Linked DNA regions of Coturnix japonica. The protein of the gene in region 2 interacts with the protein of the main gene of each other region in a biochemical or structural test. Links are inferred from orthologs where the notes say so. Each region holds a gene or a part of one and is shown on either strand. Other genes may lie near its edges.

The links. The genes of interacting proteins can lie anywhere in the genome.
Region 1: the proteins of RNF14 (region 2) and ubiquitin-conjugating enzyme E2 E2 form a complex in vitro, tested with the Homo sapiens proteins (2 studies listed by BioGRID). The link is inferred for Coturnix japonica from reciprocal best matches to the Homo sapiens genes RNF14 and UBE2E2.

Annotation. Positions count from the first base shown.
Region 1 is NC_029517.1:33,982,316-33,985,968, reverse strand, and holds part of ubiquitin-conjugating enzyme E2 E2, read right to left. Parts: intron 1,104-3,653; coding exon 971-1,103; intron 1-970.
Region 2 is NC_029528.1:1,070,835-1,075,233, forward strand, and holds the start of RNF14 (E3 ubiquitin-protein ligase RNF14), read right to left. Parts: upstream 2,919-4,399; 5' UTR 2,804-2,918; intron 2,051-2,803; exon of another isoform or gene 1,917-2,050; 5' UTR 1,908-1,916; coding exon 1,754-1,907; intron 1,270-1,753; coding exon 1,124-1,269; intron 802-1,123; coding exon 280-801; intron 1-279. UniProt on the Homo sapiens protein: E3 ubiquitin-protein ligase that plays a key role in the RNF14-RNF25 translation quality control pathway, a pathway that takes place when a ribosome has stalled during translation, and which promotes ubiquitination and degradation of translation factors on stalled ribosomes.

The DNA.
Region 1 (3,653 bases), on a different chromosome or scaffold from region 2:
TTCTCCTTACGCTAGTGAATATGGGTGTTAATAATTGTAGTCAGTCTTCCAGATGAAGTCTTACAAGTGTCTTGTGTATGATGGCAGCAATTCCTTAGCTCTATAGGAAATGCCAGATGATGCATTTTAGGAGTGTATTTGCTTTCTTTTTTTCCCAGATGCATTAGTCTGGTGGTTTGCAATAACACTGTGATCAACCAGAAAAATTCCATTTGGACATCCTCTCTCAACAGTTATTACTATTGGTTATCAATGACATACTACTCTACTGCACTTCATCCCATTTCTGTTTCTCTGGCCTTCAAAACCACTAGATATTTCCTGCATGAAATTCTAAGTCTTCTCTGTCATGGTAATGATCTGCCAGCTTCATATTATTGAAAGAGTTTTACATTTTGTGGTTAGCATCATTACTGACAGCATTAGAAAACAAATCTGTAAGGAATTCTGTTAGTTCTTGACTTTCTATCCAATTTCTTGTCTTTGCTGACATATTTCTAAAGCCTTCCAGAAAGCTAACATAAAGCAATTAAATCTTTGCAAAGAGTAGTGTAGTCTGCATCTGGAGAAGTAATTTGTATGAGGTAGCACAAAAGGTGCACATTTTGTTGGGCTGCCACAGACCTGTGGTGAATTATATGGGTCAACTGGAAAGATTCTTCAGATACTTACAAAGGATGCAACTCAAATATAATTACCTTCATATTCGAAACAAATCCAAATCAAACAAATAACTGCTGGAAATTATACAACCATTTGCTAAATAAATCCATATCTATCCAACTGTACCAGAGACATGCAAGCAAATTTTAGGCAATCATTTAAATTCTTTCCATCAAAATACTCTGTTTAAATATTCATTATTGCCTTGGAATTTTTATATTTCATCCTACAAGAGTATGCCAACATAGATGTTAAAAATATCACAAGGAGAAGACTCCTATCAAACTTTTAATATCCTCCTACTAACCTTAGGTGGTTTAAAAGGATAGTCCGGTGAAAAGGTAATGTCAAGGAAGAAAACTCCACCTTCATATACTGACCCTGGAGGCCCCAGTATAGTTGACCTCCATTCATAAATGTTGTCTCCTTTGGGTCCAGCACTAAAATAGAAAACAAACAAAAAAATAACATAATAACCACATACAATTAAGAAAATACTGCATCAGTTACAGTCTACTAGTAGTAGTGCTGGATTTGCAGCAATGCTGTGGGTTGAAATTGAGTACTATAGTTGCTTAGTTAGTCCTGCATGACATATCTTACTGGTGTCCTGAGCTCTGTCAATGAAGTGATATACTCAGCCAGGAAGAGGTATTAAAATCACACTATAAATTATTCAAATAAGCACAGAAAAATTCTTGACGGTTTAATCTCAAATATTTTAGTGGGCAGATGTGAAGTACTTACTGTACTAGCATACAGAGACTTTGCTGAGATGCCTTGTCACTGTCTTGCCTCACAAGCCTTCCTATTTTCATCTACCTTCTCATCCACCTACCTCATCAGTAGCAGCATAATTACACACATTATTATACAGCACATACAGTACTTAAGGCAGTGTGGTACGAATGACCTTGCAGCTGCACTTTCTAAGTAAGTTACTATCCGAAGGACTTCTGTCACTAGTACAGAAAGCTGCTTTAGTTGGCAATTTTTACGCTATCTTAAAAAAATCATAAACAAGAAGCAGTTCAACTGTTGGATTCTGTTAATTCAAAGTTTTCACTTACTAACACAGCACTGAAACAATATTTAAAATCTGTGATGAATAGTTCTACACATGAAACAAGAAAAATCTCTTATCTACACAGTCAGTGCCTGGAAAAAGACAATTGAAAATTACTGAGTTTATTTGACATTACTATTCCAAATGCTTATATAGCCTTCCTTCATACAACATAATGTTTATCCACAGAAAGGTGTATTTTATCCAGAGAGGCCTTTTGAGGTATATGAAGACTTCTTTTTGGTTCACAGCCTGCTGATACAAGTCATTGAAAAAGGACATGAATTTTAATTAGGATCAGTTGAGATGGGAACTTTTGAATAACTGATTAATATTTTTCAAAGGAATGCAGTGTTCGTAGATTTTTCAAATCAGTGACATAGTATTGTCTTAAAGCATTTCTTGTGAAACCATTCTTGTTATATTTGCAATAAAGATTTCCACAGTATGCAGGGGTTAGTGAAATAACCCTGCGCATAGAACAGATGAAAGCTCTTGGCTATGCTCCATGCCTCACAATGTACCCAAGGCATACAATTATTATACGACATCATGTCATGTTCACTACTCAACTATTCATTTTGTTCGCTGAAAGTTAATAAAACCCTCTTTCACCTGAAATTCCTTGGGCTCCCTTCATTAAAACTTCTGACTGCATGATTCCCTTCATACAATGCAGTGACTTAGTGTGGCATAGTTCATTAGTCATGGTACCTACATCAATTTTCTCTAATAGCTGTTAATGCTTCTTGGCTTTCTAAACTATCTGCTTTCTTAACAAAAATGGGTTACAGAGAATATAACATTATGGAACATTAATTAGCTATCAGCCATAGTAACACAACTAACAATTGTTTTAAAGATAAAATCTGGCTTTTAAAATGTCACAGTAGCAAAGTGTTGACTGTTTGCCATCCATCCATCCATCCACCCACCCACCCACCCATCCATATTTCACAGTGTCTGCAATACATCAAGTTGCTAGCTGCCAAACAAATTTAATTTACCCAGTTCTCAGTTTGCATTAACCTTTGAATAATAAAGCACAGCTGAGACTGCTCTAAGAAACAAACCAGAGAATGAATAATTAAAAACACCTCCACTGCCTTTAGAAAGACCAATGCCGAGTCAACAGGGAAGGTTTAATTGTGACTGAACTAGGCATTAAAGGGCTAATTGAACTCTTTATGAGCCCAACAAATGTGGGACTACATCAGAGCTACGGTATACAAGGTTCACAGAAAGTAAAGCCTTAAAAAAAGATAATCAGGCAATTAGTTCAAATAGAAAGAAGTAAGAAGCAGGAGCAGCCTAAATCTTACATGAAAAAAGTCTATTATACGTGAAGGAAATCCTTTCTTATTTCCTGCATAAAAAATGTTCTAATACTTGGAGAAGAAATGACTCAGTTGATGCCAGCAGGTTAAAATGGAAGTGATATAAATGCCAATCCCTGAGAAACAGTTGAAAAAGCAAGTATCAAAAGCAAGCCCTGTCTTTATTAGAGCTTACGTAGCAAGCAGAGGATGGCTGGGCTTTTCTTGGGTTTGAGCAAGGCTCACTTTTTTATTCAAAAATTCCTCTGATAGTGGCAGTTTCATAATGTATATTATTTTTATTTGTTTTGTCTATTTATTTAATTGCATTAACATTTGAAATGAGCATTCATTAATTAAAATAGTTGGAAAATGCTCCATCTGTCAGTTGAACTGTTTCGGCACGTCCAGCTACAAACCCAGCCTGATCACATTCTGAGGATGCTGATTAACATTAATTGAAGGTTTTCTTTGCAAATGAGAGATGAAGCTTTATTAAGCGTTATTATTAATTTGAAGAATAGCTGGAATTGTATGGAGTGTGGGTAGATTGCTGTTATCGATGTTGCCTGTTGGAGGGTTTGCTGGCAGCAAGGCCATTCAGCTCA
Region 2 (4,399 bases):
GATGAAGTACAGCTGGCATGAATTCACTCTGTATCCTCCCAGTGATGCCACAAAACTGCACCTAGAAATGCTATTTTGATGACAGTTAAATAACAGGATGAACAAACACGCAGCACCAAATATAACAGGACATCAGTTCAGTGCCACCATTTTGCCAGCAGGCAAAATATGTACCTGATAATCCAGTTATAACCTGGAGGAATCTGTGTGGCTCAGAGAAAGAATTTCCCTGTGTGTATTCGCCATGATAACCCAGACTGGGTTCAGCACAGCCCTTACCTGACCAGGAGTAGCAACAGAAGAACAGTTGGGTTCTGGACAGTTGAGGCAGTGGACCTGCCCATCCCTGATCTGAATTTCAAAGTAGTCCTTCAGGCAGGCTTTGCAGTACACATGGCTGCACTCGGTGAAGTACATACATTCACTGCCCAGCTTCTCACAGAAGCAAATATTGCACATGTACATCTTACTGTTAAAGCACTTCCTTCTCTGAGCCTGATCAAAGTCCAGGATCTCCCGAATCAGGCTGGACAAAGATTCCACGTCCTGTACAGCTCTCTTATCAATTCCTTCTTCAGCCGCAGCACAGCCCACTGCACCAACACAGTCCTTGGCATCCTGAGGCACCGAAGGCGTCCTGCCCCATGTACTCCCTTGTTGGCGCATTTTGAGCTCGTATGGGGATGAAATATTCAGGTAATTCAACGTTTCTTCCTTCAGAAACTGCATCCAGGCAAACAGGACCACACAGCCTCGGTTTTCTTCCCATAAGTTGTCTAAATGCTCACAAAGAGCGCTGAGCTGGGAAAGAGAAACCAGTGCAGACTTCAGTGAGTCCTGGGGACTCGTGACAGCTCCCATGGTGCAAACCTACACCTCAAATTGTGGAACTGATGGGTAATACATAAAAGACATAGAAATAGCGCCTCGTAAGGCACACACTGAACTGTCAGAAGGGTAACCAAGTAAGAACAGCTAGGAAACAAAAGAGCCAAGAAAAAGAGACGTCACCACGTACATCATAACTGCATCTACTATACTGACATCCACCACAGCTAATGGTGTTAATTATACACTCATGACCACAAAAGCTCTGCTATAATGTTAGAACTGATCTGCAAACCTGTGCTGGGGAGAGCCATTTGCTGCTGAGAGTGAAGGCAGGCGGGGAGGATGACGGGTAGTCTGGTGGGAGCTCAAAATTCAGCACGAGTGGAGGCAGAAAGTGAACGGTGTATTCAAAGCTCTGCGGACTCTCTGCAGAAATGCCTGAGCCAATGGAGACAGGGTGAGACATCACAAAGAGGTGAGAACCAAAGGACGGCACACGCGACCCCTCTGTATGTTTGATAGACTTCTCAGTTTAAAGTGATTCATTCAACACCAAATAATGGTGCAGTAAAGTGCCATGAGGTTGTATGGGGTTAAACCAATACACAGCAGTGCTGTGAAATAGCAGATCCTGCAGGAGCCAAGTGCAAGGAAAACACCCCCAGGGGAATAATAAATATATTGACTTGATTACCCCAAAGAAACACCATGACTGAGCTCTGACTTTGAAGCTCTATGGAGAGGCTGCATCCAAAAGGCTGAGTGCCCTCCCCGACACCAACCCCAGCGATGGACACAAGGAGGGGTCCCACACGGCTCCGTCAGGTAAATATCCCTACAGCTCATGGGAGCAGCTGGGGAGGCCCCAGAAAATCACCTGGTCAAAGTGAACGTAAAGACAAGAGCAGCCATCACAACTCACCGCTCACAACAACTCTGAAGTTCTGGGGCAGTTCCAAACAAATCCTGGTCTCTCCTCCCTGTGCCGACTCCGCTCTCTTAAACTCATCTTCATCGTAGATGCTGGCCAGCGCCAACAGCTCGTCCTCCTGAGCTTCTCTGTCCTCTGAAGACATTTAAATGGTCTGTGGAATTAACACCACTCTACAGCATCAACCGAGTTAACGCGTCCCATCCAAACTACACGTCTGGGTCTGTTTTACACCTCCACAGGAAGAGTCAGGACCCAAAGTAAGCAGTGGGAGCATAGGACAGAGTCAGGCTTTGTCTCCGAGTTGAGAAGTGCTGGGAGCTTTATTTACACCATGGGGAACACCCACAGAACGTGGAGGAGGCAAAAAGCAAACGGTGCCCAGCGGCCGAGAGCAGCTGCGGGAACAGCAGAGAGATAAAGGAAAGCGGCAGCGGGACATGGCACGGCGTCTGGAAGGGAGAACGGAGCGGAAGAGAACGGAACCGAGTTAGTGACAGAACGGCTGGAGCAGCGCTCTATAAAGCGATGAGAGAAGCGCCGCAGGTCTCAGCTGGAAGCTCCGAGCCGCGCTGCGTCCGGCAGGAGGCGCCGCAATTCCCCGCACAGCTGCGGATCCGTCCCCAGCCCGGAGCGCGGCACGCACAAATACACGGAGCGCACTGTCAGCGAGCGGGCACGGAGCGGAGGGTCAAAGTCCCCTCAGCACAGACACACGCCGCACCCGGGCGGGTCCGATCGGCACCGCCCGCACCGAGCAGGAACGGAACCGAAGGCAGCCGGGAAGAGAAGCCGCCCGGACACGCTCCGCACGGCACGGCCGGGATACGAGGCCGCAGTGACGGCGCCAGGCGGAGCCGAGGCCGCACGGGGCGCCCGCAGCACCCGGGTCCCGGCGAAGCCGGCACGGCACGGCACAGTACGGCTCGGCACAGTACGGCACAGTACGGCTCGGCACATTACAGCACAGCACGGCACAGCACAGCACAGCACAGTACGGCACGGCACGGCCCGCTCTTCCGGCACGGCTCCCCCCGTTACCTCAGTCTCGTGGCGGCCCGGCGGACGCGGAACGTGGCGCTGCCGGCACCGCGGCGGACGGGAAGGACGGACCGGGAAGGAGCGGCTGAGGGCGGAGGCCCCGACCCGGCCCGGCCCCGCCGCGCTGCTGACAGCGCAGAGCGCCCGGCTCCGCCCGCCCCGCTCCGCGTCCCCACAGCGCCCCCTGCGGCCGGGAGGAACGCGGGGTCCCTCGGCGGGGCCGGTACCGCCCCGCACCATGCGGTCACTGAGCGCACGCGGCCGGGGAAGGCGGCAGGAGCTGCCCCGCATGGACGGGAGCCACGACAACAGCTGCAAAACAGCGCCAGGTGCAGCTGTGCTGCCCCGCCATCAGCTCCGCCCGAACCAACAGCTGCAGCCGGAGCTCAGCTCCACTCCCACCCCAATAACACACCGTAACCCACCCCAATAACGCACCGTAACCCACCCCAATAACGCACCGTAACCCACCCCAATAACACACCGTAACCCACCCCAATAACACACCCGTAGCCCACCCCAATAACACACCCGTAACCCATCCCCGCCTCCTGGAACAGCGGCAATAAGGAGACCGCGCTCACACCCCCCGACACCATCATTACTTCTCCTCACAATCAACGGCTTCAGACAGTCAGAGTCATCCAGTAGAATCCAGTGCATTTATTTCTTCCAACAGCTGAACTGTGTTTCAACGTCAGCTTTAACACATACAAATTCATGTTTGCAAGTTTAATGACAATCAGTACTAGAAGCAAATTACTGCAGAAAACTCATAGAAAATGAAAACGCTTTGTTCCTGGAAAAGAAGAAAACCAAGCATTCCAAATGAAGGCCTCATGGCAGCAAGCACAGCCCTGCAAGGAGTTGGGAAGGCATCAGTCAGCGCTCAGTGCGGGCAGCTGAAACACAGCCCTCCTTCTATGAGCACCCCCCGAGCTGCAGGCAGCGCTCATGTAACTAACCTGGGCGTCTACTTCATGGTTAGAGCACATCCATGGCTGAGCTGTTAGGAGCGTACAGCTGCTATTCTACAGAGCAGGTAAATGAACCTGATTTGGGGCTATCAGTGATGTGATGATGCCCACTAAGGAATAAAGGTAATGGGAACACTAACCACTAACCTCGTGGCAGTATGAGCTGTTCAGGTGCAGGTAAAGATAAACCTAGAGGTGTGTTAATGCTTAAATGCAGGCTAGACTAAGGTAAGCAGATAGAGGATGCTGCAGGCCCTGAGGAGCAGCCTCCCTCCCCATCCCTGTCTCACCATCCTACCATTAGTGGCATTTCCTGATGAGCACTGCTGTGAACAGCATGGAAAACTGGACTACAGCGTTTGCAGTCTCCCTTCTCAAAACAAGACTGACTCAGCATGAACATGCTTTAACATGGAGACAGCTCGTGGCTGCTTCTGCAGGTGCAGTAACAATATCAGAAGCCTCTAGCTACAATCACTATGGCAAGAAATACTGCTGGTCTGACCGAGCAGTTGGCTACCTAAGCATTCTGACTTCAGGCACTGACCAAACCTCTCTGAAGATTACCAAGAGTGCTGTGGTATTTGCTTGCTTCAATCTGTATTCAGAACATACAAAG